4 linked regions of the Rhinolophus ferrumequinum genome follow. The protein of the gene in region 1 interacts with the protein of each later gene in a biochemical or structural test. Links are inferred from orthologs where the notes say so. Each region holds a gene or a part of one and is shown on either strand. Other genes may lie near its edges. The genes, in order: CHEK2, PPM1D, ATR and PPP2R5A.

Region 1 (7,541 bases):
GGACTTGAACCCGTATCTCTGACTACAGCACCCTCAGCCTGCCCTCACGCCCCCAACCACACTGTCACCTTTATTTTCTTCCCACTCAAGCATTTTGAATCTCTCTACCAGATTCTCTCACACTCATTTCATACAGTAACAAGCCTCCCTTGGGTTCCAGTCCCCTTTGGCTGCTAACTAATTTCATTACCTTTCTTGTCCTACTCACTTTCACAATGACAGGTCAAGAACACAAGTTTAAAGTCTGAAAGTCATAGGTTCAAATCCTGCCTCTCCCAACTCCTGACTGTAAGATTGTAGACAAGTCAATGAATTTCTCTCTAAGCCTCAGTTTGCTCTTCTGTAAAATGGTGGTAAAAATAACAATGCTCTCTCATAGGATTATTTTGCAAGTTAAATAGGATAGTCTCAACATTCCACCCAACATCAGGCCAGCATCAGGTGGGGAGGAGCTGTCTTAGTGCAGGGAAGACGACAGGTCCTGGCACAAGTTCAAGACTTGGCACAGGTGCCCATAGTCCTGGATCAACTTGCACAGGCCCCACACTGGCAGTCTTGAGCTTTTTGCTGCAACAAATGTCTGTAATTGCTTTTCTGAACACAATATTAATATCACACATATTAATGTAACAAAGGGTTCTTACCAAAATTGGAGAATCCATCCTGCAGGGCCCATAATCGAGCCCAAGGAGCAGGGACGGGCTCCTCAGGTTCCTGGTCCTCAGGAATAGAATACAGTTCCTGAGTGGACACCGTGTCTAAGGAGCTCAGTGTCCCCGAGCTGGAGTGAGAGGACTGGCTGGACGTGGGTACTGTGCTGGTGGAGGAGCTGGACGTGTTCTGAGACTGTGAGCCGGAGCCTTGGGTCGGTGAGGAGAGGTCATGGGATTGCGAGGAGAGGTCATGGGACTGCGAGAAGCCGCCTTGGGACTGCGAGCAGGCACTGCTGCCAGGAGACTGCGTGCCGGCACTGCCGTGGGACTGCTGACACTCCTCATCCGTCTCCCGAGACATCGCGACCTCAAAAACAAATGTCCAACAATAAGTTTCAAGAAACAAGACTTAAAGTTCAAGAATGAAGGATGGGAATATTATGATGGCAATAATAAAAAAAAAAAAAACCCAGGGCAAGCATGCTCTGCAAAACTTAAAATTTTAACAGTCTAGACCTATAGTTCTTCTGGGCTGAGTTTCAACAGATTATTTTCACTGGATCAGTTTTTTGTGTGACAGTCAAAAACCACAGGGGGAAAAAAATCTTCAAAGGCTATAAATAAGTGAAAAGCAATAAACTGAGTTAGGGAGAGGAAAGAGATTCAGGGAGAAGAAAGAGATTTGTAATGGCTTACATTCACCCTTTTGTTTTGTTTTGTTTTTGTTTTTTTAATCAAGGACGACTGGGGAGCAGTGTTTTATACCAGGACCCATCAGCTCCAAGTCAAGTCGTTGTTTTCAATCTAACTGTGGAGGGCGCAGCTCACTGACCCATGTGGGAATCCAAACGGCGACCTTGTTAAGAGCACCACACTCTAACCAACTGAGCCAACCAGCCGCTCCCATTCCCCCGATTTTTAAATATCAGAAGTGAAACCTAGACTGGATTCATTAATACAATCAACATTAAATTTAATATATGTTTTGGAAAGAGAAAGGGGAAGGGTCTAGTGGCTTGGGGAAAAAGATGGGCAAAGGGAAACTGTTGTTCGCCGCACCACTCCAGGGAGGACATTTACATAAAAAGGTCACTGATGCCCCTCCCCTAAACTAGCTCCAGGAAATTGATTCCTTGACACCTAAGGGCTGGGCCACTTAAGGAGGCAGGCAGAAGACAAAGACTGCTCTAAACAACTCTATCTCCACCTTTGTGATGCTAAGTAACTATCCACTCACCTTTTCAGCATCCGAAAAGGCCTCCCAGCCCTGCAGAATCTTACAGAAACCATTCTTTGAGCTACAGGACACCAAAACAGAGGTTCCCACCCTTGCTTTAGGATTAACTTGATGGACAGTCAAACTCTGATAACAGAACCCACAGTAAAGTCGAAGTAACTTTCAAACCCTAACTTTTAAATCCCCAATCTGATTTTTTTTAAAGGTACATTCTCTCCCGATCCCCACACTCAGGCCACTCCTACAGAACATAGTAAGGATTACTCACACTGACTGCATTTACACAGCTTTCCAGATACAAAGGTCCTGATGAGTTTTCCTTAAAGCACCCCAGGAAGGTGATGCCAGAGATGAGTCTGCCACTCCAGCAGCTCTAATACTACCTCAGCCAGGCTGAGTGTGTCCTTCTGCAGTTTTTTTTGAGCAAGACTTCTCCGCCCTGAAAACTGGCAAAAGACAGTGTGTCAAGAGGTAACTATCATCGCTTATGATAAATAAGGGTCTACCAGGCTGGGATCACACTGGCCTCAGTGTAGAGAAAGTACAGTGGAGTGGTTAGAGGCAAATAGGTCTGGAGTCAGATGCCTAAAAAATCTTTGCATGACCTTTAGGTAAATCAACCTCTTGAAACCTTATCTGAATAAAGTAGATAGATCTTTCCGATTAAACGAGATGATACATGAACTCTCCTCCTCGACTATCCTTGATAATTGGGACAACAGAATTCCAATCCCCAAGAATCCAACAGCCGGAAAGACCTTACAAGTGCAACACAATCTTTTATTTTCTAATAGAGAAACCGAATCCCAAGGAGGACTGGTACCCCTACCCTCTCCTAGCCATCCCATTCCACACACTTACTTATGGACACTTGCATAGCATCCTCCTACACAAGTAAGTATATTTCCAATTCCTGCAGTGCCTATCCGCTAAAAATGGGTTCTCAATACGTTATTTTCAAGATTGAATCTAAAGTATGGCAATAATTACTGACATTTCTAGAACTCTTCACAAAGCAACTTTGCTCTCATTTTGAAGAGCACAACTTTGTTCCTTCTTATCCTGTATGTCTGGGCCAGTTACAGCTTGTAAGTGAGGAAGTAACTGGAAGTTCATCTACGAAGGAAGAGAGTCGTCCACGCATTCCTCTCACCCCACCCCACCCCCGCCGAAGCTCAAACAGAGCTCAAAGCGGAAGCTCGAGAGATTTAGTTCGCCTTAATTCCCTGAGAGCGGGATTCGAACTCCCACACACCAGACAGAAGATCCCCACTATAACTCACCTCGTGCGCCCACCTGGAGCCACAGACTCACAGCTACCACCACTAGCGAACTGGCGCTAAACAGATACAAAGTCCACCCTCAGCCAATCAAAACATTCCTCCGCTTCTGCCGGACCAATGAGGAGCAGCGGATGTAGCCGTCCACGATAGCCTCACTGCTTGATGGGAGTTGTAGTTTAAAATTCAGAGCGGGACTCAGAATCCAGGTTTCCCTCGGGTGATCCCGCCCCCTCAGTCCTCCAGCCAATCAGCAACACTAGTCTGGTGGGCCATTTGTCCCCTTATCCCCCTACAGGTGACCGCGGCGAAACTAGGCCGCGAGCCAAATGTGGAGCGGGAGAACCCGAGCGTTGCTCCGGGTGTGGGGGTTGTGGCCGACTGGGGTCCTCGGAAGGAGACCAATAAGCTGTAATGCTGCGTCACTAGCGGGAAGCAACTGCCCCCAGTGTTGGAACTGCGGCGGCCCAAGGGGCCCCATTGGTGGGGACGGGTTCTTCTGCCCGCAGTGCCGTGCGCTGCAGCCGCCTGACTCCACTCGGGACCACTTCAGCCTTATGGACTGGTACGGAAACGGCTTCGGGAAACGCCCCGGAGCGAGAGAGAAGTCAGGGATAGAGGTGCGAGAGGGAAGGGCCGATCAGGTTTGGGAAGCAGAAGGAGGGGCCAGTTAGATAGGTGGGCGGAGCCTTGGAGACCAGTGTCTAGGTGGGTGTCGGGCCTGGGAGAATGGAGGATGGTCCTGAGAAAGAGGAAATTGTGGGGCGGGCCTGAAGGAACGGCTTTGAGGGATGGAGACAGGGTGGAGGGAGGACTGGAGGGGTGGGAAATGAAGTTAGAGGAAATTGAGGGACGGAGACTACTAAGGTAGAGGGAAACTTGAGGGGCGGGCCCTGAGAGAAGGCGAAGTTGAGAGGTGGGGTCTGAAGGAAGGGTCCTTGAAGGGCCCTTGGAGAAGGGAAACTTGAGGGTTAGGATCAGAACCATAAAAGTTGGGTTGAGACTTTTAAGAAAGGAGTACTGACGTGTTATCCAAAATAAGGGAGTAAAAGCATGGAAAAACTTAATACTGTGGACAGAGCCTAAGGGAAAAGTGAGAATTGGAGGGAGAAGATCTGAGGAATAGGTGTTTTTCTTGTTTTTCTCTCAAGGTTGAGGAGCTTCGGGGAAGTGGTAAAGTTTGGGCGGAGCTAAACTTGTAAAATGGGGCAGGCTCTGGGAATAGAAAGCAAAAGGGATTAGGTTAAAATAAAGTGGGAGGCGGAGATGAAGGAACCCAGGCCTCGGAAAGATAGGGAGGGATTGGGAATCCCCCTTCCCCTTAACTCTGAGATCTGACCCCACCAATCACTGTGCACTTACGAAGGGCTGCAGTAACACTACCCTTTTAAGTTCCTCAAGGGTGGGAAACTCGTTCCCACCTCAGGACCTTAGCACATTTCCTCTGACATTTGATTACTCTTCATCATCATTCATCTTGCAGCTCAAATGCCATCTCTTTGTCCACCACATTTACCACTCTCGCAGACCCCTTTCCGTTTTTCTTCACAGCACCTACCATTTTTGGAAATTATCTGTCTGCATGTTTATTGTATATTTCCCCATGGGAACAGGAACAAGACCCATAGTATACAAATCTATAAATACTTGATGCATGAATGTTATCTCCCTATTTTCTTCCAGCAACCGTTCCTTCAGAGTTGACACTGTGAAGCTCCAGCATAGGTACCAGCAATTACAGCGTCTTGTGCACCCGGATTTCTTCAGCCAGAGGTCTCAGGTAGCCTATTGGCCACCCCTAATCATACCCACACACATATGCATTCTGGGTGGGTGGCGGTGGTCTTGCGGTTGTGTGATTATCAGGGATAGCCAGCTCTATCCTGTGGCAACCAGACGCCAGCCAGGCAGGCCCTGGACCTGTCCTGCAAAATTAGAATCCATCAGTTGAAAATAAATAAATCTTATCCCACACTGGTTCTATTTTGGCCACTTCCTTAAGTGCCTGCCCATCAGTATTTTATGAAACAGCTTGTGAATATCAGATGGCTGATTTGGATGGTAATAAGACTATCTCCATATCCACTAACAGATTGAAAAGGATTTCTCAGAGAAGCATTCAACCCTGGTGAATGACGCCTATAAGACCCTTCTGGCCCCCCTGACCAGGGGAGTATACCTTGTAAGGTGATTTCCCAACCCTTCTGTGCATGACTGCCTGCTGTCCACTATGGTACAGCTGCTGCCCTGTATTCAGCAGAGGAGTGCTTGAGACCTGATCTAGTCCAGGGACCCAACTACATTTAGCCTCAAAGATACTACATGATGGGGGTGGTTGGTTAGCTCAGTTGGTTAGAGTGTGATGCTGATAACACCAAGGTTGCCGGTTCGATCCCCACATGGGCCACTTTGAGCTGCGCCCTCCTTAAAAAAAAAAAAAAGGGGGTGCTACATGAGTATAGTTTTCTCTGAATATCCTCTGTAAATGTTACTTGCCCAATTGCATTTTTTAAAAACCATTTTTCGATAAATTCAAGGATTGGATGGTGATGACTTTTAGGAAAGAGTAGTTTTGGACATTTTTTTTTTTTTTGGAGGGTGAGGTGAACACCTTAGAATTTTAGGATTTAATAGAATCTTCCCAAATATCTACTTCAAGCTCTCAAGTGGAGAAATGACTCCCCATGGGTCACACAGTTCTAAGTAGCAGAAAGGAATCCTGTTGAAGCATTCATTTCTCAGTCCGATGTTCCAACATCCTACCCTGACACTTTCATTGTTAGGACAGTTCAGGTTTTCCCTATGAGTGGTATTCTGTTCAGAAGGGTGAGTAGGATTGACTCTGGTCGTAGTCTCTTGAAGCAAACTTATTTTCCCTACTTTATGCCCAAATAGCTAAAGCTCCATGGTGTAGAGATTCCTCAAGGAACAGATTGTGAAATGGACAGGGAATTTCTCATGGAAATAATGGATATTAATGAAAAACTTGCAGAAGCTCAAAATGAAGCTGCCATGAAAGAGATTGAATCTATTGTCAGAGGTAAAAGATAAAATACCACCAAATGCATTTTATTGCTGTTAAGAGTGCATGTCCAGCGTTAAGTGAAAAATAAATATAAAGAATATATATTCGCCTCATAAAGATTCAGGGAGGTTTTTTTTTTCCCCTTTTGATTATACCGAAACCAATTTTATCTGGAGGTGAGACTTGTAACATCCCTACCTCTCTGGAATGTAGCCATAAACCAAGAAGTGCTGACTTCATATCATGAGTCAATTTAAATAGAAAAATTACAATAATGGTTTTCTCTTTCAGCTAAACAGAAAGAATTGACTGACAGCGTAAGCAGAGCTTTTGAACAAGGTACTTTCTTCATTTCTTGACTTTCTTAAATATGGAAAGAAATTGTAAGCACTGAGGTACAGCCATGCATTCAACAAGTAGCTATTATATACTCATGATAGGTACCTGGGGAGGTATTAAATATAGATGAGTCTACATTTTTGTCTTCAAGAATTCACAATCTTGCTGCAAAAACAACCTGTGTGCCAAAAACAATGACATGCCAGTGAAGGAGTATATGAGGGAAAGTGCTTTCATTTCACTTTAACAAGTAGAAGATAAGGTGAGGGATGGGGGCTGAAGCCAACCAGTAGATCCTGAGGGCAAGGCTGCACAGTCAACATTTGGCAAAGCCCGCACACCCCTTTTTCTGCAAAACCCGGAAGGAGAAGGCCATGACAGAACTGTGCCCAAATTACAACTATGGAATATTTATCCTTGTCCCCACTGCTCCTGGCTCTCAGGTTGAAGAGACTATTTCTATTTCCAGCTGTTTTTCCGCAAGAACAACTTTTCTCTCCATTCCTGACTGGTGGCCACCGCTTAACTAAGAGAGTAATGGCCCTTTGGCTTAGGATTCATTTGATTGCAGGAAGCAGAAAGCCACTTGAGCTAGACTAGATAAAGGGAGGTGATTGTAAGGAAACAGGGCTACCTCCCAGAATCCAAAGAGAAAGTCCCTGTAATGATTATAGGACAGTGTGACAAGAGCTTTTCTGGGAGAGAACCTGGAAACCAGACAGCAGTCTGGAGCCAAGACTTTGGTCCTGGACTCAGTGCCCCTGGCAGTCACTCCATCCTGTCCTTTCTAAAACCACTTCTGTCTGCTTCCTTTTTAGTATATGGTACCCCAAAGTGGCCTCTCCCACTGGATGACTCTTTACTCCTCCATGGTCTATTACCTTATAAGAACAAGGCCTCTCACCATCTGACTAGAGTCCCCTAGACCCAACTCTAGATTTCTGAGAGAGGGAATTTGATTGGCCCAGCTTCATAGCCAGATGTCCATTCCAGTACAGTCAGCTAGG
Region 2 (7,882 bases), on another chromosome or scaffold:
AATGCAGAAGCAGATATAAGAATACTTATTTCAATATTTATTTTGGGGAAAAAGTGGTTTTACATTTAAAAATGTTAACATGTTTATTTTTGATAGATTAATAAATATTTTTTAATTTGTTTTAATTTCTCATATATTAGTAGTAAATGTGATAGATGTAGCCCACATAAAAGCTCTTTGGAGTCCTCAATCATTTAAGAGTACAAAGGGTTCAGTGAACAAAAACTTTGAGAACTACTGCTGTAACCCAATGAGTACTTCAAAAGTAGAAACAAAGGATGTTTAATTCCAAAAGAAAGAACTCTTCACAGAAGAAAACATAGACTTAGAGACTGAGGAGTATATTTTTCAGTTTTGTTTTTTTGTGTGTGGGGGAGGGAATTTAAGAATATGGACTATTTCAATGTGCCCTAGGAAAAAGATGAGTAAATTAATGTGACTGAAATGTGGATAACAAAATTGAACAGGGAGTCAGAAGGTGGACTGGGAAGGGACTGGCCTCTAGATTATAAACTATAGTTTATTCTACAGAAAATGAGGAACCATCCATAAATTTAGAACTGAAGTACAATTTTTTTAAAAACTTGCATCTCCTGTGTCCAGACTTCCATACACTCAGCATACTCTTTTTTAATTCAAGTTTTGAGGATGGGATACAAGGTTTAGCTGCGGAACACAGCAAACTTTAATATTTGTCTGGTATATAAGGCTCTAAACCATACCTCACAGGAGTGAAAACTTGATTGAAAAAGTATGTGTACATCAAAAAATATACACATTCACATTTAACAGTATGGTCCCTGCTTTACGAAAAAATGCTCAAGAAACAGGGCTCAGACTTTGTTCTTTTTCAAACATATGGCAGAGTCATGTTGCTCCAAGTGCACTGCAAAATAAATGGGACTAAAGAGTTCTTTGTGTCTAATCTTCCTCTATCTTGTCTTGCTGTCCATTCCTAGTTGCACTGCAGGCAATGAAATGACATATTTCTGGAATATACTGCAGTGCTTTCAGCTCTGCTCTGCCTACACAAAAACAAAACAAATCCATAATAGGGGCCTCTGGGATTGGATGGAATACGCCTCCAAAAGGCGTACTGGTTACTCTATGAGTCAATCAAGTAATTCTTGGCAGAAAGCCAGGCAAATAGAAAACAGACTTTGAAAGAAGCTAGTCTACAATTCTATGACAATACCTTTTAAAAAATGTTCTGTATTTGACCAATATTTACACTCTTCTCTATGTCTCTGTCCTTCTGCTGAAAATAAAGCAACATTATGCTATCGTAAACAAGATTTCTTTAATGACAGAATTTAATCTTTTCTCTAAAAAAGATTTATGCCATTCATTCACAGCAATGGATAAGCAACTATAACTCTGTATGGTAACATGTGTTGGGTACAGAAACATTGCTTTAGAAAACATTTAAAGTTTAGGTGAAACTACAACGACACCGAATTTTTAGACATTAAGCTCTCTATTTCCTTTTAGCATGTCAGTAACTCCCCCTTACCTCTGGCTACTTTGACAGGGAGTTACAACTTACAGGTACTTTTAACTAGGAACTGTTGAGAACTATCTGACAGCAAATAACTAAAGCCAACTACCTCCAAAAACGTGTACTGTACTTTTAAAAAGCCCTGGCAGAATGTAACACACAGTCCTAACGTGGGGCCAGTTTAAGAAGTAACGCATTCCGCGCTTTTTTTCATAATCAGCACAAACATAAAGACCCTAAAAACATTTTATGATCACCACAACCGAATTCCTTCCAAGGCTTTTTAAGTCGCTGATGATTACATTTTAGCCTTCCTAAATTAGCCTACAGTTTACTCCAACTACCAGCCATCTGGGATCAATTTGGAGAACTGACACCACTGGTAGGAGGCAACCGACAGGGACAAGTCTTTCAAGAGCAAAATTATGACAGATTCTAAGGGAACACTCTAATATTTGCCATCTCTCGCTTCCTTCGCGTGGCCCTGGTAGCAACGTGTTTTCAATTCACCTTTGGCCAAAATCTGGCGCCAGGTTTCAAACATTTTTTCCCCCAACTGCCACCAAACTGAAACAGCGGAGAGGACGGCTTCCCATTGATCCTTGAAGGGTGGAAATAAAGCAAGGATGGGTTGTAGAGAGACAGCAATCCTACCTTTCCCAAGACCACTTTCTTTGCCCGGACCTCCACCCTGGAAAGTGCTATTAGACCGAGAGGAGTCTTCATTTCTATCAACGTCCACTTTGATAGAGCTTCTCGGTGCCGCGGCCCACGCGGTGCTGGTACTATAAAAGCCCTCAACTGCCTGAAAAAGACGCGGGAGCCAACCAAGCCAGGGAACTTACCCAGTTTCTTCCACATGGCGAGGTGACAGGCGAGGAAGCCCTTGCGAATGGCAGCGCAAACCTTCGCCGGCTCGGATGAGGTGAATCCCTTCTGCTTCTTGATGAAACCCCACAAGTGCTCCCGGGCAAACTGTGCCGCCTCCCGCCCGCCGTGCCCATCGCACACAGCGAAAAATGCCACAGAGGAACGGCGGCGGCAGCAGCAGCCGGGAGCCGGCGAGGCCCCGGCGTCCGCGGGAGGGTCGCGAGCTTCTCGGGCTGCCACCGCTGGGCCTTTCCCCGAGACTTCGCAAGCAGGAAGAGCCGGCGGTGACCGCTGCAGAGGCGACCGCTGAGAGAGAGACCGCCGCGGCGAGGGCTTTTCTTCAGCCGTCGGCTCCGGTTCCACCACGATTTGAGTAACGTCCTCCATGTACTTCCTCCCGCCCTGGTCGGAGAAGACGCTCACTCCCAGCGAGTACAGCCCCGCCATAGCCGGCTGGCCGGGATCCCGCCGGTCCCACGCAGCCCGCCGAATCCAGCGGCGGGAGAGACACCCGACCCTCGCTGGCCAACTATTGTTTATCTTCGACGACGCCGAGAAGGGGGAGGGGGCGGTCCCGGAGGTTGGCGTGCGCGCGTTGTCGGGACTTGTCCGCGAGAGCTGGGCCAGAGCGCTAGGGCAAGAGAAGCCGAGCAGATGCGCCTGCGCAATGCTCTTCCCCCGCCTGCCCGCGCCCATCACACAAATCAGACGTTCTCCCCAGCTGTCGTCACTCTGTTCTCTGGGCCTGGCCAATCTGGAGTCGAGTTGGGGAGAACCCGCCCTCCGCCCCCAGCCCTCGCTCCTCCCAGCAACTGCCAGTGTTCCCTCGGCCCAGCGCGGGCACCCGGCGCGCGCACTCCGCGGGTCGCTTCCCTTTTGCGGTGGGTGTTTCCGCCCTCCGGGTTATCGGCGGGTACTGAGCACTTATCGGGCAACTTGGTCTGTCACCTTTTTACTCAGTCCCGAGGACCGTGATGCTGCTTACTGGCCTTGGCGTTCCTGCTCGTCTTTCGGGGAAAGCCGTGTAGGTTCGGGCCTCCACGAATCGAGGGGGAAAGACCTTCCATTCCTTGGAGCGAAATGGCGGGAAACGTTACTTCGGAAGGTCGTTTGTGAACAGGCTGGAAAAAGGGCCGCACTCTAGAACTGGGTTTGGGTTAGATGCATCCCACTGGGAGTTGAGAAGGGAGACAATCCAATTTGTGTGGTTAAGAAAACTTGGGAAATTGCTACCATCAGGTATACAGTTTCGTTTCACATGACTAGGTATGTCGGAGATTTAAAAGGTTATATTTTAACTAATTGTTAACATATCTTTTCAGCTTTTGTTAAACGTAGTACTTTTTCCAGTAAGCCCTGCGTACAGGACTTATTTTTTTTTATATCTTTGGTAGTATCACTTCAAGTTACCACTTGAAAATAACAAAAACTGCCAAGCGCTCCAGTGTCTAACAGTTTGGTTATAGTCTCCCACTTTGCGCCCAGTAGGTTACAATATAAGCTAAAAACTATGCACGGATTTCCACGGAATTAAAATAAGCCTCAGAGTGGGCAGGTTAGTATGTTCTCAGCAGCAAACGTTCCTGTAGTTAATCAATTTAAAGTTCACTTTTTCAGATTTTGACCACTTCACCATCAACTCACCTATGTGCCCTTTAATGCACAGACTTCAGGATTTTCCAATGGACTGATACTAATACAGAAATGGGAACGGGGAAAATGTTCATACAAACAATTGACATAATACAAACAAAAAAAATCCTTATACTAATAAAAACATAAGCAAAATCAGCTCAAAATGTGGAAAATCTGAATAGATTGATTAATTAAAAAACGTAGTCAAATATATCCCCACTAGACCAGATGTTTCCAGAGTGTAAAAATACTTGGGGGGAAAAAAATCCCAGCTCATTTTGAAACATGTTCATAACCCTATTATCAAAACCTAACAATTATAACACTAGAAGGAAATCTATAGATCATGTTTTATAACTACAAATGCAAAAACACTAAATGAAATATTAGCAATTTTAATCCAGTAACCTCCATACCACAAGGCCTGCAAAAAAGAACAGTTTGTGTAGCTCTATATTATTCTTAAACAATTTACCCACCTTTCCTCCTCCTCTAGAGGTTGTAATTCCATCATTATAATCCTTAATCACAACCAGCAGCCTCCAGGTCATCTGTCATTACCCTGATTAGCATCTCCATGCCACCCTCAAATTCTATTAATCTGATTCATTATCCCAACCATCCAACCACTTCATCCTGCACTTTAGATTTCAACATCTGTTATCAGCCATTTCCTTTATTCTTCACCTCTTCAATGTTCCCATCAACTTCCTGTTCCAACTAAAACTGGCTTATCAACTAGCAAAACTACCTCCCTTGCAACTTTTCAAGTACAAGAGATCATTTTTCCTCTCACAGGTAGTCTTATCCTCCAACCTGCTCCTCATGTTTCCTCCAAATCATTTCTCTTCCTCCTTCAAAAACCCAAGCTCTTTTAAAATTAATGCCAACTGCTACTACAGCAAGAGGTTGTCACCTACTGATGATCCCTGGTAACTTAATGCCCCCTTCATTTGTTCATGTTTCACCATCTTCATTTCTTCCACTATTCTTGTCACTTTTCAGCAATGTTTATTGGGGTGACAATTGTTAGTAAAGTTACATAGGTTTCAGGTGCGCAGTTCTGCAATACATCATCTATATATCATATTGTGTGTTCACCACCCAGAGTCAGTTCTCCTTCCATCACCATATATCTACCACTCCCCTGCCCCCCAACCTCTGGTAACCACTAAACTATTGTCTGTGTCTATGAGTTTTTATTCATTGTTTGTCTTGTTCCTTTGTTGTTTTCAGTTTTACATACCACATATCAGTGAAATCATTATGGTTCTTAGCCACTTTATTTTTTAAAATGTTATCCACATTTTCCAACCAAGACCCTGACTTCTCCGGTTTTCATCCTCCTCTTCATGGTGAAGTGGCCCTGCACTATTCAAGGCACTCCCTCCATTTCTGTTCTAGATCCTTTCACCTCTCTCCTTCTCAGAAGATTTGCTCCACCAGTTATCTTTTCTTGTTCCTATCTCACCAATTTCTCCTTTCCTACTGGGTCATTTCCATCTGTGTACGGACGGACATATTATGGTGTCTATTTTAACAACAATAAAAACCTACCTTAACCCCCCATATACTGCCCTACTTCTCTGCCCTTCCTTCACAGGAAAAACTTTGGAAAGAGTTGTATCTATCTAGATTCTACTTCCAATTCCTAACTCATAATTTCTCCTTAACTCAACCAATAGAGCAGGGGTGTCCAAACTGCGGCCTGCGGGCCAACTGCGGCCCACAATCCATTTTTTGTTGGCCCGCAGCAAATTCCAAAAATATATTTAGTTTACTTAAATAAACCAGGTGAAGCAATATGTACTTCACCTCAAGTGAGTGGCCCAGCTGTTTGTGTATTGGCCCTTGGTAAAAAACGTTGAAAAAAGTTTGGACACCCCTGCAATAGAGCGACCCTCCACTAAAACTGTTTTTATGACATAACCAGACCTCTCTATTTCCAAAGCGAATGATGATTTCTCTGTTCTTAATAACTTTCGTCCCAACTGAAGCAGAAAGTGGAACTATTGTTTCCCTATTGAAACGCTTCTCTTGGTTTATAAGAGGCCACACTATAATGGTTTTATTCCTACCTCGTTGACTGACCACCTCTTCTCATTTTCCTTTGCTGATTTCTCCCCTGCTAGACTTTAGATTGTTCGGAGTACGCAGGGCTTTGTTATGGGCTCTTTCCTTTACCTACACTCTCTCTCTAGGTAACACCATTCAGGACCATAGCTCTAAAAACTGTCTGGGGATGGCTCCCAAATTTATATCTCCAGTCTTAAACTTTACCCTGAATCCCAGACTCTATATGCAACTGCACGCTTGACAGTTCCACATAAATGTCTAATGGGCATTTCATCTTAACATGGCCAAAACAAACTCTAAATTTCTTCTCCATATCGCCTTCTCCCTCAGTCTTACCCGTATCAGTAAGCATCACCATTTTTGTTCAAGCCACAAAACATAAAAGTTTTTTTTATTCCTCTTTCCTCCACTCTCCTTCCTATTTCCAATCCTTCTGATTCATCAGCAAATCCTTTTAACTAACTCTTCAAAATCAATACTGCACCCACCACTTCTCACTACCTCCGCCACTACCATCCCAGTCCAAGCCACTATTACCTCTCATGTGAACCACTACCATAGTCTCCTCATAAATCTTTCTTTCACATTTGACCCTCTGCAATCCTTTTCTACTAACTACTATCACGCTCTTTCAAATCAATAAATCAAGGGGCTCAGTAAGAAAGGTGAAAGAATTAAGAAGTACAAATTGGTAGTTACAAAAGCGTCATGGGGATGTACAGTACAGTATGGGAAATATAGTCAATAATATTGTAAAAACTATGTATAGTGTCAGATGGGTATTAGACTTATCGGGGAGATCATTTCGTAAATTATATAAATATTTTATAAATATATATAAATATATATATAAATAAATATATATATATTTATATATATTTACATATATATAAATATATATATAAATAAATATATATATATATTTATATATATTTATAAATATTTATATAAATATTATATAAATATAAATTATATAAATATAAATATATAAATTTCATAAATATCTAACCACTACACTGTACACCTGAAACTAATATAATATTGAATGTCAACTATAATTTTTTTAAAAGTCACAGGGATATATAATACAACATAGCGAATATAGTCAATAATATTCTAACTATGTACAGTTTCAGATGGCTAATAGATTTATTGGGGTTATTACTTTGTGAGGTATATAAATGTCTAATGACTACATTGTTTTATATACCTGAAACTAGTTTTAAAAAAAACATAAATCAGATCAAGTCATTCCCCTACTCAATACACTGTATGAGTTCCCATCCCATTTAAAATAGTATGCAAACTCTTTATGAAGCCCTACAAGACCTGTTTGGTCCCTAAATGTTTGTCTAACATCATTTCGTAACAGTTTCCCCATTCCCCACTCCCTCCAGGCCTAGGGGCCTTTCTGTTCCTTGAACAGGCCAAGCTCTTAGAAGGTTTAAAGCTTTTTGCCTTAGCTATTAACCTCTCCTTAGACTGCTCCCCCCTACCTCCAGCAGCTTTACGAGGGTGGAGTCTTCTTGCTATTCAGATCTCAGTTTAAATATTAAGGGATTTACTTCCTAACCATCCAAACCATCCAGACTAAAGTAGCCACCCAATATCTATCGCACAACTATTTTAATTCTGCAGAGGACTTCTGCCTATCTGACCTTTTTATTTATTTGTCTGTTGACTCTCTCTCCCAATTAGAATATAGGTTCCATGAGAACAGGGAACTTATCTTATTCATAGCTATATCCCCTAAGCCTAGGACAAAAGTTAAATGAATTGGTTAATTAATAAATTATCTCATTT
Region 3 (8,076 bases), on another chromosome or scaffold:
GTGCAGTCCTAGTTCTGTAACAGCCTCAGTAGATGTGAAACTGCCCCAGGGATAGGAGGACAAATAGCTTTACTTTTAATTTCCTTAAATATTATGAGAACTAGATGATTTGCAATTTTTTTTTTTTTTTTTTAGTATTTCTACTAAATGGGACAAGTGCATTTGTGCAGTTTGTTTACACAGGATCATTGATTCTGCTTTAAGTTTCAGAATGTTGCCCTGTGGTTGTATTTGTCTCTTATGAGTCTTTATCCAATTGAAACGAACAAAAGATGTGTGCTTTTTTTTACCCATTAATCTGTCTGACAATATTCAATACATAGTCAAGTTACTAAGGCAGGGGAATGGCATAATAATCATATTTGGGTTTTGAAAAGGTCCTGTCTGCTGTATAGAACAATTCCAAAGAACATCAGCATTGCCTAGGAGCAAACTTTTTAAAATTATTAAAAATGCAAAAAAAATAAGTAATAATACTTTTAAAAATTGTTAAAATTATTAAAAATTATTTAAAATGCAAATCATTGAGTGTACCAACGAGGTGTATATTGAAGTCCATTCAAGTCTGGAAATGAACTTGTATGTAATATTGTATTTTTTATCTCATTTTTTAAAGCTATTTTAGTGTATACTTTATGATATTAATTATATAGTAAACTTTTGAAAGAATACCACAAATGGAGTAAGAAAAATCCAGTGCATTATGAAGGAAATTACACAATTAGGCAGCCAAGAGTTTGGGCATCTGAGAACCAGGTGATCTCATTTGAGTTGTAGTGCCACCTCGTGGTCATTCCAACCCTAGTTTAATTAACAGTGGGGACAATTCTATATACAGGCTATATGAAACTTCCAGGAGGACATAGGTTTATGCCCATTTGTCGATTTGATATGGGACACCTCAGTCTCTCTGCTTCCTGCCTCACTCTCCCCCCACACTTCAATCCCTTCCCCCCAAAAGATGAAACGGGGAGGTGAGAGGAAAACAGGAACAAATCAACAGTTGTGTTATGTCCAAATTTACATTATCATGACTTTTATGTTATTAGAATATAGTACTAAATATATGTGGTTAATAAATAAATATGCACATATTAGGGTACATATTTTTAAGATTTCAATATTGTTGAACAATCAAAAAAGTTAGGGGGCTGCCAGATAGCTCAGTTGGTCAGAGCATGAGCTCTGACCAACAGGGTTGCTGGTTCTAGTCCCACATGGGCCAGTGAGCTGCTCCCTCCACAACTAGATTGAAGACAATGAGCTGCCGCTGAGCTTCCGGAGGGGCGGCCGCATGGCTCAGTTGGTTAGAGCGCGAGCTCTCAACGACAGGGTTGCTTGTTCAATTCCAGCATGGGGTGGTGGGCTGCACCCCCTGCAACTAAAGATTGAAAACAGTGACTGGGCTTGGAGCTGAGCTGCACCGTCCGCAACTAGATTGAAGGACAACGACTTGGAGCTGATGGGACCTGGAGAAACACACTGTTCCCCAATAAAAGTTAAAAAAAAAAAAAAGTTGTGAGACTCCCAGTGTAGAGAATGGATTGGAGGGAAAACAAGCCTAAAGGAAGAAAGGCAAGCTAAAACACTACTGAAGTAATTTAGGCAAGAGACAGTGATGGTCTGAAACCAGAAAGATAGTAATGAGATTTGGAGGGAAGTGGATCGGTTTGATATTTAGAAGATAGAATTGAGTCCTTATCTTTAAGAGATACAAACTGAAATAAGTACAGATAAATTGATATGATGTCTGGGATTTTCTTTAAAACAATCCAATTAGGGAGAGGGGAAATGGGGGGGGTTATAGATGAAACAAACACTGGCCATGTGCTGATAACTGCTGAAGTTGGGTGATGGGCATAAGGGGATTCTTTATTCTATTTTCTCTTACTTTTGTGTATATTTGAAACTTTTCATAATAAAAAGTTAAACAAAATTAAAGTGCCTGGGAATAATTCAAGGGCAAAAATTCAATATGAAGGTAGACGTATGAAATATAAAGCTCAGAGAGAAATCTCAGCAAAGAATTTGGGAGTGGTCAGCAGGCAGAAAGTTAACTGAAGCCTTAAGAGTGAACGTGGTCACCTAGGAATAAAAAGAGAAAGGAAGCTAAGTTAGAACCCTGAGGAATACCAACAGTGAATGGGATGGCAAAGGAAGTGTTGCTAATAAGAGAGTAAGTCATGGAGGCCAAAAGAAGAAAGTGTTACAAGAAGCAGGCATTAGTCTATGTTGTCAAATGCTGCTGGGAGGTCAGGAAAAGAAGAGCTGATCAACAGTTTTTTTGGATTCAGCCATATGAAAACCATTGGTGCAACTGGTGAAATTGGTGAGAGGCATTTAAGAGGGCGCGGGCAGGACAAAGAGCATTGTATGTAGGATTGAGACTGAGTGGGAGATGAGGAAATAGAATCAGCTGTATGAAAAACTCAAAAAGTTTGGTGGAGTTGAGAAATATATAGGTACCTGGAGAAAGGATGTCTGCCTGGAATGACATCAACTGCTCCTTTATTGATATATTGCTAACAAGTTTTATTTCTTTAAATGACCTACTACCCCCCTTTTATTCTGTCCTGTACCCTCCTGCTAGATTTGAGTGTAGCTTTGACTGGGTCACTCTTTATATAAGATCTCCCAGTGCCTCTCCATCGCTTACTGAGGTCTTTATCAGTGTCTCAGGCTACTTTTCCTTGACATCAGCCAAAATGAATCACTCATCTCTCCTTCAGTATGCGTTTTGTTCAGATATTTGCCTCTAGCTAGAATATATGCCTCTTCTCCAATCTTTGTCTCTTAAAATCTTGCTCATCTTTCACATCTGGTCTAGCATATGGTGCCACATTCTCCTTGAGCCCTTTCCTGATATACCTCTTCTCCACTGGAGTAGATACGGTCTCTCCCTCCTCTATTTTTCCAATGCATGCTATTTATATCTCCTTATGGCATCCATCGGATTTTGCTTTGCATTTATTTTTCTGGGTTATTACATCGTTTTTACATCCACAGATTGTACATACTTGAAACTGACTTTATTTTCCTCATCTTTATGTCGCAGAAGTACCTAACACAGTATCTTGCACAAAATAACTTTTTGAATTAAATTGGATTCCCAAAGCTCTACTGTTTCTAATGCTTGGGGGTTTACACTGCCTTTTAGAATTACAATGCTATTCAGCTACTGCCTTCCATGTAACGTTGTAATTTTTATAATCTTTCTTCATATGATCCAAAAATAATACCCAACATTTGTTACTTGTTAGTTATAAACTGTTTTTCATATGGGTTATCTCATTTAATCTTTAAAAAGTATATGTATTTCTTTATACATTTTGAGATACAAATAGTTATATAACCTCCATCTAAATATAACAAATGTTTAATTTGTCATGATTAATCAGAACCTATTAAAAGAAAACCCTCAGAGATATGCTGAAGCCTTGTAATTTCATTTCCTTTTTACATTCTCCAGAGGTACAACTCTCCTGGAGTTGATGTATATCCCTCCCAACCATGTTTTTAATCTTTCATCATCTATGTATTTATACTTAACTCACACAAAGTGTTATTTTGTGGTTTAAAAATGGTATGTAAGTGATATAATATTATTATGTATTCCTTTGCGATTGCTTTTATCTCTTGACATCATTTTCGGGATTTATCTTTGTTAGCATGTGTTGCACACTTCATTTTGACTAAGAAATGGTATTCCAGTGAATGACTCTACCACCCCTTACTTAATCTTTACCTTAGTTTTGTGAGGTAGCTATTATTAATCTCATTTTATAGATGAAAAACTGAAGTACAGACAGGTTAAGTAACTTTAGGTAACACAGGTTCTAAAAGATGTAATGAGAACTTGTGCACAGCCTCTTAACTCCTGACACCATCTTCTTTCCACTTTATCATTCAACTATTTAACAAATATTCACAGAATACCAAGTATGTGCCAGGCCCTGTGTTAGGTCCTGGGCATCTAAGCAGTGAATAAAACAGACAGGATTCTGGTCTCAAGGAGCCCACGTTCTAATTGGAGGAGATAGTCAATAAAATAGTATGTAATGTATCGTTTGGTTTTAAGCGTTCTGAAGAAAACTAAAACAGGATGGAGGGGGAAAGAGTGTGAGTTTAAGTGTGTAGTCTATATGATGCTCTCTGGTGACGGTTCAGCAAATACTTGAGGGGTGATGAGAGAAGTGTGGTCCAGGTCAAGGCTAAGGGTACAGCAAATGCAAAATCCCTGAAGCAGGAACATATACGGCTGTCATTCCATCACTTTGATTTTTTAAAAAATACTGTATCAACCATTATCCTTAAGTGCTCAACAACAAATGAAAGCACACTGCATGGCTTTGCCTGATTAAACACCTAATTTTGACATGTTAAGTCTCTTATGATGGCCACCTTTCGAATAAACAAATTAGGTCGAGCCAGAAAATGTCTACAACCAGAATCCACTGATTTAAACATTAAGTCATATGTAGTAGATGCCCATAACAGTGACACACACAGTACTGCTGCTGCTTTGATGAGACACATATAAATACAATTCAGCCCCCTTTTTAAATACGAAAGGTTTAAAGGAAACCTAAGAAGACTTGAAGTTTAAAAAACCTGCTGAAACAGAAAGGAGAGAGAGAAGCCCACCTCTTGCACCGTATTTCTCAGAAAGGATGTCAAGAGTGGTAGGAAAAAGAGGACCTGAGGTCGTTACGCCGTGGGGAGACTTGGGGAGAGCTAGCCTTTACTCGCTGAAGTGCCTCAGTTTTCACATCTGCGATACGAGGCAGTCTGGCCTGGTGCCCTTCAGGCCCCTCTGCTCCTTAGATCCGGCGGTTTTACTTTGCTGAGCCTCCCAGGATAGGAGTAAGAACATGGCCGCTAAGCCCCGAAACTCTCCGCGAGTCTCGCACGGGGCCTTCCGGGCTCAGCGAGAACCCGCCGGGGGCGACTGGGCAGGCGCGGGCCCCGCCTTTTTGTCCCGCCCATTTTGGGCCTCCGGACCTCCCCCAGCCACTGCGCAGAACAGGAAGAAGGCCTAGCGCGCGGGGCAACCGCGGCTTCCGGGAGGAGTTTTGGGCGCCGTGAGGACCCGTCGGGCGCCGCGCGTTTCCAAAACTGTGGAGACGCCGGGAGCCCGCCTCTGCGGCGCCGACGAGCGCAGCGCATTCTCAGCATGGGTGAACATGGTTTGGAGCTGGCGTCTATGATTCCCGCCCTGCGAGAGCTGGGCAGGTAGGGCCAGGCCCGGCCGTCGTGGGCCCCGCGGCCTCCTCCGCTGAGTCCGGCTGGCGTCTCACGTGCTCTCCCCGACCGCACGCGCCCCGGCTTGGATCCCCTGAATCCCGGCCGCGGCTCTTTTGTGGTGGGCTCCGGGCCTGACCAGCGCTTCTCCCTCAGAGGGGCGGTTAGGGCGTCGCTGCAGACCTGAGGGAACAGTCCGAGAGGGAAACGTCTGCCGGCTCCGCTTTACCTCAGCGGTGCCCGGGAGCTCGTCCCCACTGGGTGTTCTCTGCAGCTGGAGGGAAGGGCCACTTCTCGTCACTTTCTTGCACTTATTTGCTTCTCGAAAACCTCTTGCCGTACATGGGAGACTTGACCCATGGACTTTCCCCCCTTTCAATTTATGATCGGTCGTGGACGAATTGGGTTTTTAGCTCCACGTTTTGATCCAGAACAGCTCATGGCAGAAAAATCACTAGTTCTGGTTTTGTGCAAGGAAGGCCAGTTATTAGAAAAGGCAGTTTCTATCTTCGAAGTGAAACCGTAGGCCACTCTGAAGATAGGACCTCTTGCAATCTTCAATCCGTTATTTAGTCAGAAATCCCAGGGATAGGCCACAACGTTCACAAAATATAAATATGCACAGAATGTTGCCAAAACATGAAGATAATATTGTTTTATTTGCAAAAGCTTGTTTTCTGAAAACTCGGGAGTAAAATCATGTAAACCAGTATCCTACCTATGAGAAGGGACAGATGTTGATGGGTGCCTCCTCCCTTCAACACATACGCAACCTTCCCACAACCAGGTCTAAAGACTAGAAGGCAGTGTTTATGTGTGTTTCCTTTTTTAAAAATTGTAACCCACTGCAGACAAGAAGTAAGTGGGCTTGTATACCACTACTGCAGTTGAACTGTCAGAATAATTACCTCCCAATTTCTTAAACTGTTTGACAATTTAGCACACAAAGTCAAAACTAACATTAAGCCCACCAGATATTTAATTTCCTTTTCTTTTTTGCTGTGCAATTGTGTTCATCTCCACTTGTTGGCCATACAAGGATGTTAGTCTTCCTTCATTACATAAATAAGAGGATAAATGAAGGGACCATATTTGTCTTAATCCTATTTTTGTGTGTGTTAATTGTTTTCACTTTGCATTAGGTGCAAACATTTTGTATTAATATTTTGTAAAGTAACATCTACTTTTCTAAAAAGCTGAATACAGGTGCTCATTTCAGGAAGTTGATGTACAGATTTCATCTTTCAGGCTCAGTATGCTTCCCCTATCTTGCTTTAATGGAGAATTAGCTTATTAATACTTTTCTTCCCTCTTTGCTCTTCCTCTATGAGACTTGTTAATAAAAATAGTATCTTAGATTTATTTATAGTCTCTTACATCAACAGAGCTTACTCCTATGTTATCTTTCATTTCATTCATTTGTAATTCTGAGAATGAGTTGAAAAACTGACCCACACAGAATTGTATAATGATAGTTTTTAATTGTCATGACTTTTTCATTGCACTTGCTTCATTCAAGCTTATTCAGTCTTACAGTATCTCTATGATATAGAACATGACAAATATCACTATTAAGAAACTGAGTCACAGAGGTTGAAGAAGCAAAGGCAAAGAGACAGCAGTTATCAGAGCTGTGTTTCAGATGAAGACATCAAGGCATTTTCTCCCATATTTGTTTTTCTTTAATTGTGGCAATTAGATTTGTGAGAAAAAAATGAGATGTCACAGTTCTAATGTGTGGGCTCCCGCTACCTCTATCTCTCAGGGATAAATTTTGTTCCACTTTTTTTTGTCGTTAGCATTCTTTACTTAGCATAGTCTTTCTGGGTGATCTCATTTACTCTCCTGCCTTCAGTTACTGTCTGCTATTTGATGACTCCAGATGTGTTTCACCAAATCGTATTTGTCTCCAATAGAAGTATATGTACTGGATAACAGCAGTTTTACCTGCGTTTCCCATATGCAGTTAAGACTTAACATATCCAATGCAAATTCTCTGCATATTCCAACCTGCTCAAGATTTTTTTTTTAAATTCCTCTCATTCACTGAGGTAGGGATATTTCAGTAAATGATGCCACGTTCACTCATTTTTCCAAACCAGAAATCTGGGAATCATTCCTGGCTCCCTGTGTTTTTGGCTATGTCCTTGGTTCTCTTTTCATCTTCACTCTCTTCCTAAGTTGCTTTATCTAGTCCCATGACTTTACATATTATCTATATGCTGATAACTCCCAAACTTTCTCTAGCGCAGAGATATAAATTAGGTTGCTTACTCAACATCTACACCCAGAAATGAAAATTAACATATCCAAAGCAGACCTTATAATTTACTGTCCTTTAACCTGTTCCTTTTCCAGGTTATTATAAATGTACCAACCAAAAGCCAGGGAGTTTTCCTTGATTTTTTTCCCCTTATCCCTTAATAATCCACCAGCAAGTCCTGTCACGACTGCCTTTGAAATACACTTCTCACCATCTCCACAGCTACCATCACAATTTCTTATCTAGACTATTACAGTAACCTCTCAGTTTATCTCCATTTCCGTTTTTACTCATTTACAATGGATTTCCCACTCAGCACTCAAAGTGACTTTTATAACTACAAATCATACTGTAGATTATATAGCATTACTTCCCTGCTTAAAATCTTCCTTTGGCTTTCTAGCACACTTAGAATAAAATCCAAACTCCTTACCAAGGCCTCTAAATTCCTGCATAATCTGCTCACTGTAGTCCAATAATATTGGTCTATTTTTCGTATACACCAAGGTCCTTCCTGCCTTCAGTCCTTTGCGCTCTTCTCTCTGAACACTGGTTGGTTCCATTAAGATGTC
Region 4 (7,875 bases), on another chromosome or scaffold:
CAATTGAATTTTTGAAAAAAATCACTTTTCAAGCACTTTGGAATCTGAAGTAAAAGTAGTTTTTCCTATTAGTGGGTAATCCAAGTAAGGGTCTCATTTCCCTCAATTAAGTTTGCATAAATTTATCTTGAATATATAACTTTCCTTATAAAGAAAATTATATTTTCATGCAAAATATATATATAATCTAAATTTCCACGTTTTCCTCTACTAGCGACAAAAATACTACAAATAAAACATACTGTGACCAAAATGCTGTTATATAAATAAAACATTCAATGGCACCTTCAACTTGTTGCACTATATATCATATAACTTAGATGATTACTGACACTGCGTATTTTAGCCAGGCTTTTAAAAACAAATGTATTAAAGCTGCATCTCTTGGCTTGAACCAACCATGTTTAATATTCAATTATTTGTATTAAATAAAAGTAAATATTATATTAATGACAATACTAAGGAATCACAATACCTCACTAAAAAACAAATTAAATAAATATGAAACGCTAGCACCAAACCTTTAAACTTTAAAAATAATTCAACAATTTAATGAAAAAAAATATAAAAATAACTGTGGTTGTAATTAAAAGTTAAATCCATGAATAGCAAGTCAATGTTCTAATAGGTAAGATGATATTCTTTTATGGCTATGACATCACTCAAGAATTAAAATTTTGGCAATGCCTACCATTGTGGTTTACCATTGACTACAATACGTAAATTTTAAAAATTTTTGTATGCTAAAAAGCAAATGATAAATGCAGTAACACTGGCTACACACAGCTTAACTAAAACCGTCTTTAAAAAGCCAGTTTGATTCTGGCCTGGGATGTTCTTGATTTAGAAGCACCCCCAAGAGGCAGGGCCATGCAGGGTCTGAATGGGGTTCCAGAGATATTGTAGGTCAACTGTGATTTGATCTTGGGTGTTCTTTAAACTCCTAGCCAAACTAAGGCTGAATTCATAGGCCCAAAGACAAATCAGAATGAAACTGGTTTTGAAGAGGATGAAATGGATTGAAAAATCTGCTGAACATTCATCTATTTTAGTATAAACCTTTCATTTCCTGGCCTTGCAAAACAGATGATCTAAATTTCTATTAGATTTCTTTCATCAAAAAAATTGTTTTAAATGTCTAGGAGCATTATCATCTTGTTCCATGATGATTTCAATCTCACAAAAAACGAAGACATTGAAATAAAATTAAAAGTAGTAATTCACAAAGAATAAACTAGACCACCAGGAAACAATTTTTTTAAATCCTCTAAACTTAGTGGGAAAAGTGAGTGAGCCAAAAGGAGTGCCAAGTTCTCCTTGCCAGGCATTAGGCACGGATACCCATTTGAATTACTGTACAAACCTACAAAGTCCCTGGAATCACTGCTTGGCAAACGAAGTTCCCATTCCATTGCAAACCAACACGATCTATTCCTTTATACGTCGCCAAATTTACCGTGTACACCTTCTCGGACAATAAAGTATTTTAAGTATTTCCAGTCTTCCGGGCCAAAGGATAACATTTAAACCTAACGACCCAGTTAATAAGACACTACACCGATCAGGTTTTACGTTTTTTTCTTTATAAAGAAATCCAAAGGCCAGGTAACTAACTCTAAACGTTGTTTGCATTAGGATTCCTGGTCTGTGTGACTCTTTGAAACAATCAATGGGAGGGAGTTGAGACGGTGAGTGCAGGCGCTATTGAAAAAGTAAAGGACTAGTTAAGAGTGTCCGAAGGAGGAGGTGCGTCTCCGGATAGTGAAGGTCGGAAGGAAACACAGATTGTTAAATAAAGCAAGATGGGAAAGACAAGCCTGAGAGAAGAGGGAAGAACTGTACCTCGCGGGACGCACGAGAGTTCCAATCGCGAGGGCAGGTGACTGAGCGCGCAGGTGGGGAGAGTTGTTGGCCTCCACTCAGATGGGAAGAGTTAAGGGAATCAGGGAGAAGTAAGAAAAGTAGCAAGACTCTTAGCCTCAAACCTGTTGGAATCTAAGGGGGATGGGGCGCCAAGGCGTCGTGGGGAACACGACTCGCACTACCAGCCCCAGCTGGGCAGAAGGAACCCACAAGGAAACGGCTCTGCGGGCGCGGGGCGAGCCCCTGAGCTCCCTGCCCCGGCTGCGCCCTCGGAGGTTACCTTTGAGCTGGGGCAAGGGGTGCAGCTCCGCCTGGCTGCCCTGGCTGCGGAACTGCGACGAGCCCTGGGAGCGCTTCTGCCTCTGCGCCTTGCGCACCGATTTCCGGGTGAAGCCGTCCACTTTCTCCGAGGCCGAGATGGCGGCGCTGGCAGTCCCCGCCGGCGGCGACGACGACGACATCTCCGCAGCCCTGGCGCTTGGCAGCTCCGGCTGCTGCTTGCACGGAACGGGCGGCGGCAGAAGGAGGATGCGGGGGAGAGGCGCGGAGCGCTCGCGCCCCTCCGCCCCGTCCCCCCGGCCACACCGCCCTTCTGCTCCCGGGCGCCGCCGAGCTTCTCCTCGCTGCCCGCCAACGCCTCACGGTCGCATCTCAGTACCGGAGGTTCCTGGTCCCCGCTGCGCGGCGGGCTCCCGGAGGCAAGGGCGGGGGCGGAGGGGGGTGAAGAAGTTGTTGACTCCGGGCGCCAAGGGCGGTGGAAGGGAGCCTGAAGTTTAGACAACTGAGGCGAGGGCGCAGGGGTGCGGACGTCGAGCGCGCCTCTCGTTCCTTCAGCCCAGGTTGCCAGCCAGCCGGCCGGCCAGCACCTCAGTGGCCGCTACCAGCGCAGCCCGCCCTGCATGGAGCCTCCTCCAGAGGCGCTGCCATCGCGGGTCCCCTCCGAGCCGCTGCCACCGCCACGGCGCCCGCTCTTCCCTGTCAGCGCCAGCCCCTCATCTCCCAGGGCGGTGACCCGCCGCCCGGGCTCTGGGCACGCACACACACACACACATACGCGCGCGCGCTCCTCGCAGCGCGGAGCCGTCCTAGCCCCCTCCCCCACGCGCCCTTCCGCCGCCCACGGAGAACCCCCAGCGAGCGTCCGCTACAACTTGAGAAGGTGGTGGAGACGCGCAAGGGGTGGGGGGAGTGTGTGTGCGTGCGCGCGCGCCGGGGCGTGCGACCCGGGGGAGGAGCCTTGAGTGGGGGTGGGGTGGGAGGAGATTGACAACTTCCGCGGGGTCCCGCCAGCCTCTAGGGTGCTCGGGAGGGAGTAGGGGGTGGGCAGGCATCCCAGCTCTCTCAGCCAATCACAGGGCTAAGCGGCGGGAACGCGGTGAGGCGTGGCCTCCTGGAAGGTGTCTCAAACTGGGAGGTTAGAGAGAGGAATGGGGCGTGGTTATGGACGGACTTAGGTCACAGCCAATCGTAAGTGAAAATGGCGAGCCCGGTGCCGCTTGCGTCACAACAGCGCAATGAATTTTCTTGGTAGGGGAAGTGCCCCTTTACCAGTGAGCACTTTGTCACGCCTGCGCGACAGCTTCAGGCAATAATTGCTCTTATGACAGCCTATGAGAAGACCAGAAAACTAGAGGGGTTAGTTTAGGAAGCAAACTAGAATGCCCTTCCCTCTCCTCTCTGCTGGCCAATGAGGAACTGAAGCGACTGGTGGAGAGCTTGCGGCCTGGGGCGGGAAAGAGCGCCAGGTGTTACGTCACTGAAAAGGGGCGAGCAAATGTAGGGTGGGGAACCAACAGTCAGCAATGTGATTGACGAACGAAAGAGCCTCGGGGAAGGCGAGGAAGTGGTTCGTTCAAGCGGAGCGAGGTACTGGACTCCTGCGCAGGCCTTTGAGTCTCGCTGCCCCTAATCCTAATTGGTAGTTGCAGAGTAAATTGGTAGTTCTGGAGTGGCTCAGGCACCGCAATTCCCGAGAACTGTTCTCGCGCCAGGTTTGGGCAACTCTAACATTTACTTCAAAGATTTCTCCAAATCTGCACCCTCCAAGAAGAGGTTCTCATTTCAATTTAGTGTCCCATTAATTTTTATCCCTTCTTCAGCCAAAGGCCTTCAACTACTTCAACAGAACGAGTACAAATTTGTTCATCAGTGGTTTGGGGTTGGGGAGTTGCCATTTACTCTTACTGGGATCTCTTGGAGATTCCGTCTATATTTTAAACTTATTAAAGACAAAGACTGGTCATCCAGTCTTTTGTGCAGTGTTTTCCGTAGAATGATGCTTAGTAAAAATATTTGAGCTGATGCGTTATATGAGAAGTAACACAAAAGGGAACCAAATATTCTCTCTATCCTATTATAAGGTCCAAAGTACAGAAAGTACTAAACAAAATTCAGAAATTGATTTGTCATTTACATAAAAATGGTTAAATACTTGGAGAGTAGGGTATAAAAAATTCTTAAGCTTAATTTAAGCCTAGAAAAATAAAATAAGTGAGCTGAACAGTTTTGTCTCCCTTTATCTTGGCAGTTTTGCGCTGATAGACCCAAATCTCCATTCCTCTCTGGAGAGCTCCAACTTTTTCCTTTCGACATCATTGAAATAGCTGCCCATGGATTTAAGCAAAACTACCTGATGCATATGTCAGAAAATTCCAACTTTGGGTAGGAAGTTGGATTCTAGATCTAGAAGCAAACTTAGTCCCTTAAAATAGTTCCTTCCTCAGATTCACTGAGTGATGAAATTGTACACCGTCCTCCCAGTCAAGGAGCTTGGAACCTCAGCAGCATGTTTGACACTTCTCTTTCTCATTCTGTCAAGTTCCAGACCATGTTGAATTACCTTCACAAACGTGCAGACCAGTGCTTCCTCATAATTTGCACAACCGACCACCAAACATAGTTTGTTTCAGGGCTTGCAACCTCAGGGCCAGTTCAGTTTTTAAAAGTGCCACTTTTCGTCTTTCCAAAGAAGACATAGAGATGGCCAACAGGCACATTAAAAGATGTTCAACATCACTGATTATTAGGGAAAATGGAAATCAAAACCCACAATGAGATGTCACCTCATACCGGTTAGAATGGCTATCATCAAAAAGATAAGAAACAAGTGCTAGAGAGGATGCCAAAGAAAAGGGAACCCTTGTGCCCTGCGGTGGGAATGTAAATTAGTACAGTCACTGTGGAAAACAGTATATTATTCCTCAAAAATTAAGAGGGAACTACCATATGATCCAGGTATTCCACTTCGGGTTATTCATCTGAAGAATTATGAAAACACTAATTTGAAAAGATACATGCACACCTACATTCATTGCAGCTTTACAATAGCCAAGTTACGGAGACAACCTAAATGTCCATGTCCATTGAGGGATGAACAGATACAGAAGATACACACACACACACACACACACACACACACACACACACACACACCCCTACACCCTCAAATGGGACACTACTCAGCTATAAAAGGTGAAATCCTGCCATTTGTGACAACACGGATAGAACTTGAGGGTATTATGCCAAGTGAAAACACATCAGGCAGAAAAAGACAAATATGGATGATTTCACTCATATGTGGAATATAAAAACAAAACAAACCAAAAAATAAAAAGACGAACTCAGAGGCAGACAACAGATTGGTGGATACCAAAGGGTAAACGGGGTTAAAGGAAGAGTGAAATGGGTTAAAAGGGAATGGATGGGAAACTAGGACTTTATGGTTATCATTGAATCACTTTTCCTTAGCTGTGAGGTCTTTTGCCCCATCTCAGTGAGTTGTAATCATAAATGCCTGATAACCCCTGGCATATCCAATCCTCTTGTCCTTGCAGAGTGGGTCTAAAAAGCCTGATGTTGGCAAACTCTCCACACTTAATTCAACCCTGCAAGCATTTTTTTCAAGTGCCTTCTCTGTGCCAGGCAATATGCCAGACACTAGGAATGAAAAGGTAAATAAAGCATGGACTTAAAATTTAGTGAGAGGGACAATATAAACAAAGGATCAAAGACTATATCATAAGTGTGCCTTATGGTGTGTGCAACAGTGGAAAGAAGATCAAATTTGGTTTGAATGAAGAGGCAGAAAAATTTAACAGAAAAAGTAATGCTTGAAGTGAGGTCTTGAAACAAAACAAGTTTTCATACGGATAAAAACAGAAGAAAAAAAATACTTCTCATTCAAGAAATTAGCTTACCCACATTTCTTCATCCCTGAAAAATATTTCCATATCTCTGGCAATGAATTTATTTTATACGATATGTTACCAAAAGTTTTTTCCCATTGCAATAGAAGAATATATTACACTATACCTTGTGTCAGAATTTGACCTGGAGGTGGATGGACAATATAAAAAATGGACATTAAATTCAATATATGACTCCCTTCTGGTATATTCTGAGGAACAGTGATTGCAAAACTACCATATGGGTTCTTAATGTTCCTTTCATATGCAGATTTTATATAAATCTATAAGTGGTGTTTCTCTTTCATCCTCCTGGAGGAAGCATCTAATAGGTTTGAGGGCAGTCCCTGTCTTAATACAAAGCTGCTGCATGACAGCAATGTGTCCTCTCTCTCTCTCTCTCTCTCTCTCTCTCTCTCTCTCTCTCTCTCTCTCCTCTCTCATCACATTTATTGAAGGTTGGAGAAAAATTAAAATGCCATTTAGCTTAAGAATTTGTAAGTCATCTGCAAATCAAACTCATTTGGAGTGGAAGAATCCTTGGTCATTTCTTAGTATCAAAATTTACGCAGGTTTTTTTCAATATCTTCTACATTTAAAGAGGCAATCAGTCTCCTATTTTCCATACAGGATAAATTCTTTGTTTCAGCCAACTCTCAATGGAGAGGCAACTAGTACAACATCATCTCCCTGGACAAAGAGCATAGAAATATTCCGTTTTGTTGATTTATATGTTTCTTCATCAATTTATATAGTAGTCACAGTTTCTTCCACATCTCCCAGTATCATATTTAAATGCTGACCATAAGCATATAATCTACCTGGAAGCTCTCTGTCATTTCTCATTTTCACATAAATTCGCTCATCCAAGCTGAGCCTGATGAGATCCAGGGGCTCTTTATGGTGTCGGTAGTTTGTTGCTGGTCCATATCGTCCACCACATTTCAATGTGTTCTCTCTCATTGGCTTGCTATTTTAGCTCAAGCTTGTAGAAATAATTAATTTGAGAATCCAATAAATCAACCTTATATCTTCAGTGTCAGTGTGGTCTCTATGGCTTGAAAAAGCAGTATTAGTGGTACTATAGGACTTTCAGGAATTATTGAACTGGAAATTTCCAATGTTTTCAGATCCTAGCCTTTACTTTCAATACCAAAGAATATAGCTTTTTAAAAAATGTGTGTGTCTGTGGGTGTATATAAATACAATCACCACCATAAATTAACTCCTACTATGTACTAGGCGCCATTCATATAAAGCATCTGGCAGAAAGAGATCAAATGAGATCTTCTCTTAAAGTGTCTCTCAAGTGACACTCCTTTCGATTCCCCTGGGAGCTTGATTCTGGTAACTCTTGTCATGTTCTGGAGCTATTTATTTATTTATTTGTATTCTAGCCTCTCTGGGGTCCTCTATTCTTCTCTTGCAAAAATTAGTGGAGATTCAAACTCTATTTATCATTTCTATACAAAGGCATTCACACAAAATGAAACTGAATAGATTGTACTGTCAAGACCATACCATTTGCTTTAGCACTTTACAAATTTTGTGTATGTGGAACTATGAAGTACTGACACCTAGAAGGAAAATGTGATTATCACAAGATTTAATGGTGCTTGATGTTTCTTATTCATTCCTTCAAAAATATTCATTAACCTCCTACAATGTGCCTGGTCTATTCTAGTTGCTTGGAAAATAGACATGAATGAGACAAAGTGTGCCTGCACGGAGATCACCATCAGTGGGGAAGCTTACAACAATTAAAGTTGTACTATGCAAACAAAAGAGGGAACATGCAACAGAGAAAAATTACTGTTGCACACACAGA

What was found.
Region 2: of the proteins of CHEK2 (region 1) and PPM1D, one has a biochemical effect on the other in vitro, tested with the Homo sapiens proteins (2 studies listed by BioGRID, with this or other methods). The link is inferred for Rhinolophus ferrumequinum from reciprocal best matches to the Homo sapiens genes CHEK2 and PPM1D.
Region 3: of the proteins of CHEK2 (region 1) and ATR, one has a biochemical effect on the other in vitro, tested with the Homo sapiens proteins (2 studies listed by BioGRID). The link is inferred for Rhinolophus ferrumequinum from reciprocal best matches to the Homo sapiens genes CHEK2 and ATR.
Region 4: the proteins of CHEK2 (region 1) and PPP2R5A form a complex in vitro, tested with the Homo sapiens proteins (2 studies listed by BioGRID and IntAct, with this or other methods). The link is inferred for Rhinolophus ferrumequinum from reciprocal best matches to the Homo sapiens genes CHEK2 and PPP2R5A.

The regions. Positions count from the first base shown.
Region 1 is NC_046308.1:18,318,545-18,326,085, forward strand, and holds the start of CHEK2 (serine/threonine-protein kinase Chk2), read right to left. Parts: upstream 3,284-7,541; 5' UTR 3,174-3,283; intron 2,337-3,173; exon of another isoform or gene 2,159-2,336; intron 1,021-2,158; 5' UTR 1,015-1,020; coding exon 645-1,014; intron 1-644. Other genes in the region: iron-sulfur cluster co-chaperone protein HscB, read left to right, coding at 3,500-3,735, 4,854-4,950, 5,263-5,352, 6,066-6,210, 6,487-6,534. UniProt on the Homo sapiens protein: Serine/threonine-protein kinase which is required for checkpoint-mediated cell cycle arrest, activation of DNA repair and apoptosis in response to the presence of DNA double-strand breaks.
Region 2 is NC_046304.1:24,997,645-25,005,526, reverse strand, and holds the start of PPM1D (protein phosphatase 1D), read right to left. Parts: upstream 3,042-7,882; 5' UTR 2,816-3,041; coding exon 2,344-2,815; intron 1-2,343. UniProt on the Homo sapiens protein: Involved in the negative regulation of p53 expression. Required for the relief of p53-dependent checkpoint mediated cell cycle arrest.
Region 3 is NC_046285.1:1,898,693-1,906,768, reverse strand, and holds the start of ATR (serine/threonine-protein kinase ATR), read left to right. Parts: upstream 1-5,058; 5' UTR 5,059-5,173; coding exon 5,174-5,232; intron 5,233-8,076. UniProt on the Homo sapiens protein: Serine/threonine protein kinase which activates checkpoint signaling upon genotoxic stresses such as ionizing radiation (IR), ultraviolet light (UV), or DNA replication stalling, thereby acting as a DNA damage sensor.
Region 4 is NC_046305.1:19,977,002-19,984,876, forward strand, and holds the start of PPP2R5A (serine/threonine-protein phosphatase 2A 56 kDa regulatory subunit alpha isoform), read right to left. Parts: upstream 3,061-7,875; 5' UTR 2,325-3,060; coding exon 2,144-2,324; intron 1-2,143. UniProt on the Homo sapiens protein: The B regulatory subunit might modulate substrate selectivity and catalytic activity, and might also direct the localization of the catalytic enzyme to a particular subcellular compartment.